2 linked regions of the Macaca mulatta genome follow. The protein of the gene in region 1 purifies or fractionates together with the protein of each later gene. This does not show direct contact. Links are inferred from orthologs where the notes say so. Each region holds a gene or a part of one and is shown in the gene's direction. Other genes may lie near its edges. The genes, in order: STX10 and NAPA.

Region 1 (4,426 bases):
GAGACGACCCGCTGAGACCCCGTTCATCCCATCTCTCCCCTTCCCAATTATTTCCCCCATACAAGGCCCCCTCCCAGGTTATCCCTGACCCCTGCCCCACACTGATCTTCTCAGGCCTTGGGGCACCCTCCCGTCCCGCCCTCCCCCCGCACGGTGGGAACTCAAAAATTATTCCCCCTTAAAAGACCATTCCCAAACTCGTCCCCATTCAACGATGGTGCCACACTGCGACGACCTGCCGAAGACGCCCCCGTCCCCGCCCCACTAACCTTACCACGGAGACCCCACAATGACTTACCCGGCCCAGGCGCTATCTCTGAGACCCCACGCAGCAACTCTGACGCGCAAGGGGGCGACCCTCTGAGGACTCCCTCGGATAACCCGCCCACCCTCCAGGGGAGACCAGGCCCCCTACCACTCAAAAAAGTGCTTTCCCGAAGCTTCCCTCACCCCTCAACACACAGAGCGCCACTGTCACACATAGGGACGACCCTGAGTCCCTTCGCTGATATTCCTGGCCCGTACCCAGACGGAGACCCCACACAGAGGGCCCCCCTGGAGACCATCCTCAAAGCCACCATACCTCCCGCGACCCCCAGGCTCTCACCCAGAAAGAATCCGCGCTTCTGAAGACACCCACCTCCACGCACGCTCTCGAAGGTGACCTCCCCCCGCCCCTGGAATATCTGGGACCCCCACTCACGGCCACCTCGCCCCAAGGCGACCTCGAGGTGCCCCCAGCTTGCCCACTTCTCAGGAAAGAGAGATTTGGAGAATGCGGCAGAACTCCCCGCAGGAGCAGGCCCGCTCCTCGCCCCGCCCCGGCAGGGAGAAGGAAGGACCACCTCTCCCCCAAACCTTGCCCAAACCTGACACTCGGGACCCTGGACTGGGACGATCTCCCAGGTGCCAGCTCAGGGAGTCCATGAAAACGTTCAACCAATCGAATGAGCCCCTTCCCCAGCCATAGTCCCCAGCCGCCAGAGATAAGGGAGGCTACCATTATTTACATTGCCCGTGCCTGGAAGGGAAACTGAGGTTGAGCAGGAACAATCCGAGGAACTGAGCCTTGAACCGAGATTCCGAACTCGGACCCGAACAGGCCCAGCCAGAACTCCGACACCGCTCCCTACGGTGCGGCACAAGAGGGCGAAGGGGCGGGGCATGCGTACCGGAAGCTGCCTCTGCCCACAACCAAGATGGCTGCAGAGAGGGCGGAAGTGTCCGCACGTCCGGCCTCCGAGGCCTCTCTTTCTGCCCTGGCGGTCCCGCTCTCGATGGTGGCGTGACGGGGGGCGGGGGTGGTGGCGCGTTCTCCTGGGTTGGGAGAGAACCAGCCCGCGAACCCAGGCCGGGAGGGGGTTTCGGCCTGGGGGGAAGGGGATTGACATGTCTCTCGAAGACCCCTTTTTTGTAGTCCGAGGGTGAGTGACCACGACGGGGGAGGGCGGAGGGTGCTCCGTCCCCAATCCAGCTAGTGCCCGGGTGCCGGCTCCAGCGTGCCCGGCGGGCTAGGCAAGGCCGTCGGGGTGCAAAGTGGGAGGCGCACGCAGGGGTATGTGGGGGTCTCCGGAGTCCCCCATGCGTTTGGGTTTGCAATCGGGGGCAGAGGCAGGCGGAAGGACCGCCTGCCCCCAGCTGCGCCCGCCGTGCCCCTGCCCGCAGCGAGGTGCAGAAGGCGGTGAACACGGCCCGCGGGCTATACCAGCGCTGGTGCGAGCTTCTGCAGGAAAGCGCGGCGGTCGGACGCGAGGAGCTGGACTGGACGACCAATGAGCTACGGAATGGCCTGCGCAGCATCGAGTGGGACCTCGAGGACCTGGAAGAGACCATCGATATCCTGGGGCTTTGTGGCGGGGGGTGGCATGGGAGAGCTCACTGGGGTAGCAGGGGGCCTGGGAGCCCGCCCTCGGGGAGGGCTAGACCCCTAGGGAGGGGGATGATGATGCTATCTGGCTCTGGCCTTGACCCTTGACTCTCAGCCCACGTATAGTGGAAGCCAACCCAGGCAAGTTCAAGCTCCCGGCCGGGGACCTGCAGGAGAGAAAGGTGTTCGTGGAGCGGATGCGAGAGGCAGTCCAGGTCAGGAAAGGTCCTGCAGGCGGGGAGTGGGGGACGGTTTGAGTGTCTTTTTTGTTTTGTTTTGTTTTGTTTTCTTTTTTTTAACAGAGTCTCTGTCGCTCAGGCTGGAGTACAGTGTTGCCATCTTGGCTTACTGCAACATACGCCTCCCGGTCTCAAGCGATTCTCGTGTCTCAGTCTCCTGAGTAGTTGGGACTTCACAGGTGCCTGCCACCATACCCGGCTAATTTTTGTGTTTTTAGTAGAGACGAGGTTTCACCATGTTGGGCAGGCTGGTCTCGAACTCCCGACCTCAGGTGATCCACCCGACTCGGCCTCTCAAAGTGCTGGGATTACAGGCGTGAGCCACCGCGCCGGGCCTGAGTGTCTTTCCTCCCTAATGCTGTCCTCACTTCCAGGAAATGAAGGACCATATGGTCAGCCCAACAGCCGTAGCATTTTTGGAGAGGAATAACAGAGAGGTAAGCCTTCCTAACCCACTCGGTCCACCTGAGCGCCTGGGGGTGACCACGCCTTTGAGTGCAAGCCAGATCCCTCTGCATGTGTTCGCCTGTCCCTTTTGCGACAGTGCCCGTCCTCTCTGTGTGTAGTTGTCTTCTTGCTGTCTACCTGCCTGCACTTTCTCGGTGTGTGCACCTGAACTTCTCTGTGTGTATATGTCCATGGGTTCCTCTCTACTGTCTCCTCTGGGTCTATACTGGTTTCCTGTTGCAGGGGACGGCTGGGGGCCTGTGTACCTATCTGCTTTCTGCTTCCATGCCATTTGTCCTGTTTGTAGCTGTTTCCAGGACGCATGCCTGCCTTTTACTCTTTTTTTTTTTGAGATGGAGTCTTGCTCTGTTGCCCAGGCTGGAGTGTAGTGGCTCGATCTCAGCTCACTGCAAGCTCCGCCTCCTGGGTTCAAGCGATTCTCCTGCCTCAGCTTCCCTAGTAGCTGGGATTACAGGTGCCCATCACCATGCCCAGGTAATTTTTATATTTTTAGTAGGGTTTCATCATCCTGGACAGCCTGGTCTCGAACTCCTCACATTTCACATCAAGTGATCTGCCCGCCTCAGCCTCCCAAAGTGCTGGGATTACAGACATGAGCCATTGCGCATAGCTTCCTTTTTTTTTTTTTTTTTTTTTTTCCTGAGATGCAGTCTCGCTCTGTTGCCAGGCTGGAGTGCAGTGGCGCGATCTTGACTCACTGCAACCTCCGCCTCCTGGGATCAAGTGATTCTCCAGCCTCAGCTTCCTGAGTAGCTGAAATACAGGCACATGCCACCATGCCCGGCTAATTTTTTTTTTTTTTTGAGACGGAGTCTTGCTCTGTTGCCCAGGCTGGAGTGCTGTGATGTGATCTTGGCTCACTGCAACCTCCGCTTCCCGGGTTCAAGCCATTCTCTGTCTCAGCCTCCCGAGTAGCTGGGATTATAGGCTTCCACCAGAATGCCTGGCTAAATTTTGTATTTCTTTTTTCTTTTTTTTTTTTTGAGATGGAGTCTCGCTGTGTCGCCCAGGCTGGAGTGCAGTGGCCGGATCTCAGCTCACTGCAAACTTCGCCTCCTGGGTTTATGCCATTCTCCTGCCTCAGCCTCCCGAGTAGCTGGGACTACAGGTGCCCGCCACCACACCTGGCTAGTTTTTTGTATTTTTTTAGTAGAGACAGGGTTTCACCGTGTTAGCCAGGATGGTCTTGATCTCCTGACCTTGTGATCTGCCTGTCTCAGCCTCCCAAAGTGCTGAGATTACAGGCTTGAGCCACTGCACCCGGCCAAATTTTGTATTTCTTTTTTTTTTTTTTTTTTTTTTTTTTGAGACAGAGTCTCGCTGTGTCTCCCAGGCTGGAGTGCAGTGGCGTGATCTCGGCTCACTGCAAGCTCTGCCTCCTGGGTTCACGCTATTCTCCCGCCTCAGCCTCCCAAGTAGCTGAGACTACAGGCGCCCGCCACCACGCCCGGCTAGTTTTTTGTATTTTTAGTAGAGACGGGGTTTCACCATGTTAGCCAGGATAGTCTCGATCTCCTGACCTCGTGATCCACCCGCCTCGGCCTCCCAAAGTGCTGGGATTACAGGCTTGAGCCACCGCGCCCGGCCCAAATTTTGTATTTCTAGTAGAGATGGGGTTTCAACATCTTGGCCAGGCTGGTCTTGAACTCCTGACCTCGTGATCCACCCACCTCGGCCTCCCAAAGTGCTGGGATTAGGTGTGAGCCACCGTGCCCGGCCAATTTTTTTTTTTTTTTTTTTTTTTTTTTTGAGACGGAGTCTTGTTCTGTCACCCAGGCTGGAGTGCAGTGGCCGGATCTCAGCTCACTGCAAGCTCCGCCTCCCGGGTTTACGCCATTCTCCCGCCTCAGCC
Region 2 (4,325 bases), about 46 Mb from region 1:
ATCTCACAGCTATGTTTCTGTGCTGGAGTCACCTGCCCGCCCAGCCCTGGAGGCTTTTGTAGGTCCAGCTCCTGCCTCACTTAGTGCTCTTTTCTTCATGGGTGCACGTTTTGAATCCTCGCTGCATCCCATTAAAGTCAGCACCATTGTCACCTCGTCTTACAAGTGAAGGTGGTGAGGCTGGGACCAGAGTCCCTTGTTTGAGGCCACATGGCTAGGGACCTGTAGTCCCAGCGTTCCAGATCTTTGTGACTCCCGTTGTCACGACTTTAGCTGTAGCTCACATGCCCACCTATTTTCGGGGCGCTTGGCAAAAGAGGGGCCAGAGAGGGCAGTGGGAGGGGACGTGGCCAGAGGGAAGGAGCTGGAGGGTTGGTGCTAGATTTTGCTTGGCTGGAGTTTTCCTGCCATTGCCTGGCAGAAGCATGGAGTCCAGGATTTCCTGGTGTCCCTGGCTGCCCAAACCCCTGCCTCACGGCCTGGGGTGATGGCCCCACACACCCCCCACACACACACCCCATAGAGCCCTGCTCTGCTGTGGGCACCGGTGGTGGGCAAAAGCTTGGGCTTTGTCAGACCAGGTTCACATTCCCACCCCATGTCTCACCGTGCCCTGGGCAGGTCACTGCCCCCTCTGGATCTGTTCCCTCACTTTCAAAAAGGGGCTCACCGTTATTTGACCCTCTCAGGGTCCTCAAGAAGCACCAGCCCCAGGCCTGCCATGGAGGATGTGCTCATTTGTCCCCTGCCCCAGCTGAGCCAGGTGGGAGGAGGCAGTGGGTACCTGTCTGAGGAGCCTTCCCCCTCCACCCACCTCTCCCTGCAGCCGTCTCTGCCAGCCAGGCTGGTGCTGAGCTCAGCTGCGGGAAGGTACTGACAAACAGAGCCAGGTGACACCTGAGGCTAGAGGAGGGGCGCAAAGAGCTGACTCAGTATCACCAGACATCCCCAAGTCCCCTCGGCTGCTAGGCCAGCAGCTCTGAGGGCCCTCTTGTTACTAACTCATCCTCCCCCTTCCCTGCTGCCCAGCTGGCTGTCCAGAAGTATGAGGAGCTGTTCCCAGCTTTCTCTGATTCCCGGGAATGCAAGTTGATGAAAGTAAGTGCTGGGTGCTCCAGCCTCCCCCTTCCCGAACCCCAGATGGGGGTGGCCGGGGCTCCAGGTGGGACAATCATCAAGACTTGTCCAGTGGTTCTCAGAGGGTATGTTTATTTTGTTTTCTTTTCTTTGGCCATTTGACTCTCCATTTTTCAGATAAAGAAAGTACAACTTGGGGAGTGCTGGAGCTCGGGATGGCTGGGTGAACACACACACACACACCCCACATGCACATGACACACATCCCACACACACACCACACCACACACACTACGTACACCACACACTACACATACCACATACACCAAACACTACATACACTACACCAAACACTACACACACCACACCACATGCTACACACACACCACACACGACACACACCTCACACAATCACTACACACACCACACACACACACACGACACATTACACGACACACCACACACATCACACACGACACCACACATACCACACACGACACACACCCCACACGACATACCTCACACACATAACACACACCACACGACATACCTCACACACATAACACACACCAAACACACCACACACACACCAAACACCACAGACACACACACCACAGACACACCACATATCCACACACACACACATTCTGTGTGATGTTCTATGTTGGTAAGGTTGCCCTGAGAGCTAGCCGTTTCTGATGAGTAGGGCAGCAGGATTGCAACACGCCCCTACCTGTCCCCAGTTTAACCCACATGGACTGACCCTCTGAGAGTCCTCAGGAAACCCCAGCCCCAGGCCTGGCATATAGATAGTGTGTGCTTTCATCTAATCCAGGCCGACCTCAGGTCAGCCTGGGCCCCAGACCCCTCTCTGCCATTTCCTTGCAGAAGTTGCTAGAGGCCCACGAGGAGCAGAATGTGGACAGCTACACCGAGTCGGTGAGTGGCCCGCATGGGGGTCAGGCCCCTTCACAGGGATGGGTCCCCTAGGAAAGCCGCCCTTCTCAGACATGCTCTCCCCTGACATTCACCCATTTTTATCTGGCCCCCAGCCCACTGTGAATTTCTTTCTCCATTCACCCCAGAAACCTCACAAGTAGCCCCAAGAGATGCAGGGAGTGTTTTCCCCATTTTACAGATGGTGGCCTTGGCACCTCAGGGGCAGAGCTGGTGTTCAGAGCCACATCTGTCTGCTCCTGAAGACCAGGGTTCCTTGAGTCCCCCAGTTGAGTGTGTGAGACTCACAGTGGCCGCCTTGGGCACCCAGGAGGCACAGACTGGGAGGGAAAGGGTGAGAAGGAGAGTGGAGCTGAGGACACGGGAGAGGCGCCAGCTTCCCTCTGCCTGGTGGAGCCGCCCACGTGGCTCTCTCTCCCTTCCCTTTCTCTGTTCCCAGCGTTCCTGGGCTCAGTGGCGTCCGGCTTATAGGTCCTGATTCGCTCCTCTAATGGCACATGTCAAGCATTTCTCCCCAGGTGCCCCTTGGGAATGGAAGCCCCTAGCTGAGGACAGCGAGCAAATGCCATCCGGTTCCTCTTGCCCCGGACAGTGGGTGGCAACTCAGCCAGGAGCTCAGGGAGGGGATGCCCAGCAGGCTGCGGCTTCTCTCTCCCATGCCCCATGGCACTCAGGAGTGGCCTTTTCCGTATCTCCAGGCCTCAGTTTCCCACCCATTCAATGAGGATGCTGGACCTTTTTTTTTTTTAAAGCTACAATCCCTCTCCCCCAAGGGAAATGTTGTGCCTAGCATAGTCAAGACAGACAAGAAGGAGCTCCCCTGGCTGAGTCGGGGCCTCGAGCCCTCCCTCTGCTCCTTCTCAGAGACCAGGGTGACAGGGACAGATCTTGAAAACCTTCAGACAAGTGCCCTTGGGCTGCAGGGTTGGGAACAGGGAGGAGCATGGCCAGCCCATCACCTGGTGTGCCCTCAGGTGAAGGAATATGACTCCATCTCCCGGCTGGACCAGTGGCTCACCACCATGCTGCTGCGCATCAAGAAGACCATCCAGGGCGACGAGGAGGACCTGCGCTAAGCCCCACCCAGCCTCCCAGCGCCCGTCTTCGTGTCCCATCTGCTTAGAGAGAGGTGGGGCCGAGACTTGCTGGAGAGCTTCCCTCCTTTCCCACCTGGGGAGTCCCGCAGGCCACAGTGGGCAGGTGGCAGCGGGGGTCAGCATGCGGGGGCACCAGAGGCCCAGGCTGCTGGCTGGACAGTCACCCTCTGCTCTCGCTACATCCCTTGCTCCCTGCCCATTTATTTAAGCCCCCATAGGTGCCCTTCACCCCCAAAACCAGCTGTACAGAATCTTTGATACAGACCTATTTGCTAGGGGTGCTGCCGGGGGTTTGGGGTCAGCATCTGGCCCCCCATCTCCTGACCAGCTGATTCATGAGGCCGGTTTCTGTCTCTCCCACTTTTGTCCCCCAGCCAAGCTCTAAAGCACATGTAGCCGCTGAGACTTGCTGTCTCTACGGGGGGAAGCTCCTCTTCCCCCAAACTCTGGGAGCTTCCCCCAGCCTCCTGCAGCCCCGACCTCTCAGGTTAGACCCCGGGCCCTGGAGCTTAGGGGGTTGTCCCCGACCCCAGCCCCACACCTGCTCCTTCCCTAATGCTTTGAGGTTTTCTTGGTTGGAAGCTGCAGCTGGCCCGAGAAAGAAAATAAAAAACAACACTTTTGCATGAGTCTCTCTTCCTCCTTGTCTCTGCTACCCACTTTGCCCCTGGGCCGGTCACCTGTTCTCCTCACACTCCTGGTCCCCCAGACTCTGGGCAAGCTCTTGGGAGGTTGGGAGCATGCATCCTTGAAACACGTGTGGGCTGGGTCAGTTTCTAGGTTGGGGAGACCCAGGGATGGTGGGCCTGGGGAGGAGCTCTGGCTTGGAAGTCCCAGAGCGCCCATCTTGATCTAACTTTCTCTGGGTTCTTGGGGTCCAGGGACCTTGGTTTCCTCAACTGGGATGCATGGTGATGATGCCACCCCTCAGAGCCAGTGGGAGGGTCGAATATGACAATCCTCATGACTGCTTTGGATGAGAATGGGTGGAAGCTCGCCGAATCTCCCATGTCCACATTTCCCTGGCAGGAAGGCTGAACGCCCCGGTGACAGTTGTTCCATCTGTCACAGGACGGGGGAGGAAGCGGCTTTGGTGGGCAGAGTCTGAGGCCCGAGTGGGTCTGGGGAGTGGGGGAGGAGATAGCAGGAGCCTTTGCCCGGGAAAAGTGGGCAGGAACCAGCTGCCTCCACCAC

What was found.
Region 2: the proteins of STX10 (region 1) and NAPA purify together in Homo sapiens (affinity purification with mass spectrometry; 3 studies listed by BioGRID and IntAct, with this or other methods). This does not show direct contact. The link is inferred for Macaca mulatta from reciprocal best matches to the Homo sapiens genes STX10 and NAPA.

The regions. Positions count from the first base shown.
Region 1 is NC_133424.1:13,721,018-13,725,443, reverse strand, and holds the start of STX10 (syntaxin-10), read left to right. Parts: upstream 1-1,383; 5' UTR 1,384-1,389; coding exon 1,390-1,424; intron 1,425-1,665; coding exon 1,666-1,835; coding exon of another isoform or gene 1,836-1,845; intron 1,846-1,987; coding exon 1,988-2,082; intron 2,083-2,480; coding exon 2,481-2,543; intron 2,544-4,426. UniProt on the Homo sapiens protein: SNARE involved in vesicular transport from the late endosomes to the trans-Golgi network.
Region 2 is NC_133424.1:59,984,860-59,989,184, reverse strand, and holds the end of NAPA (alpha-soluble NSF attachment protein), read left to right. Parts: exon of another isoform or gene 1-58; intron 59-1,029; coding exon 1,030-1,098; intron 1,099-1,965; coding exon 1,966-2,016; intron 2,017-3,008; coding exon 3,009-3,110; 3' UTR 3,111-3,761; downstream 3,762-4,325. UniProt on the Homo sapiens protein: Required for vesicular transport between the endoplasmic reticulum and the Golgi apparatus. Together with GNA12 promotes CDH5 localization to plasma membrane.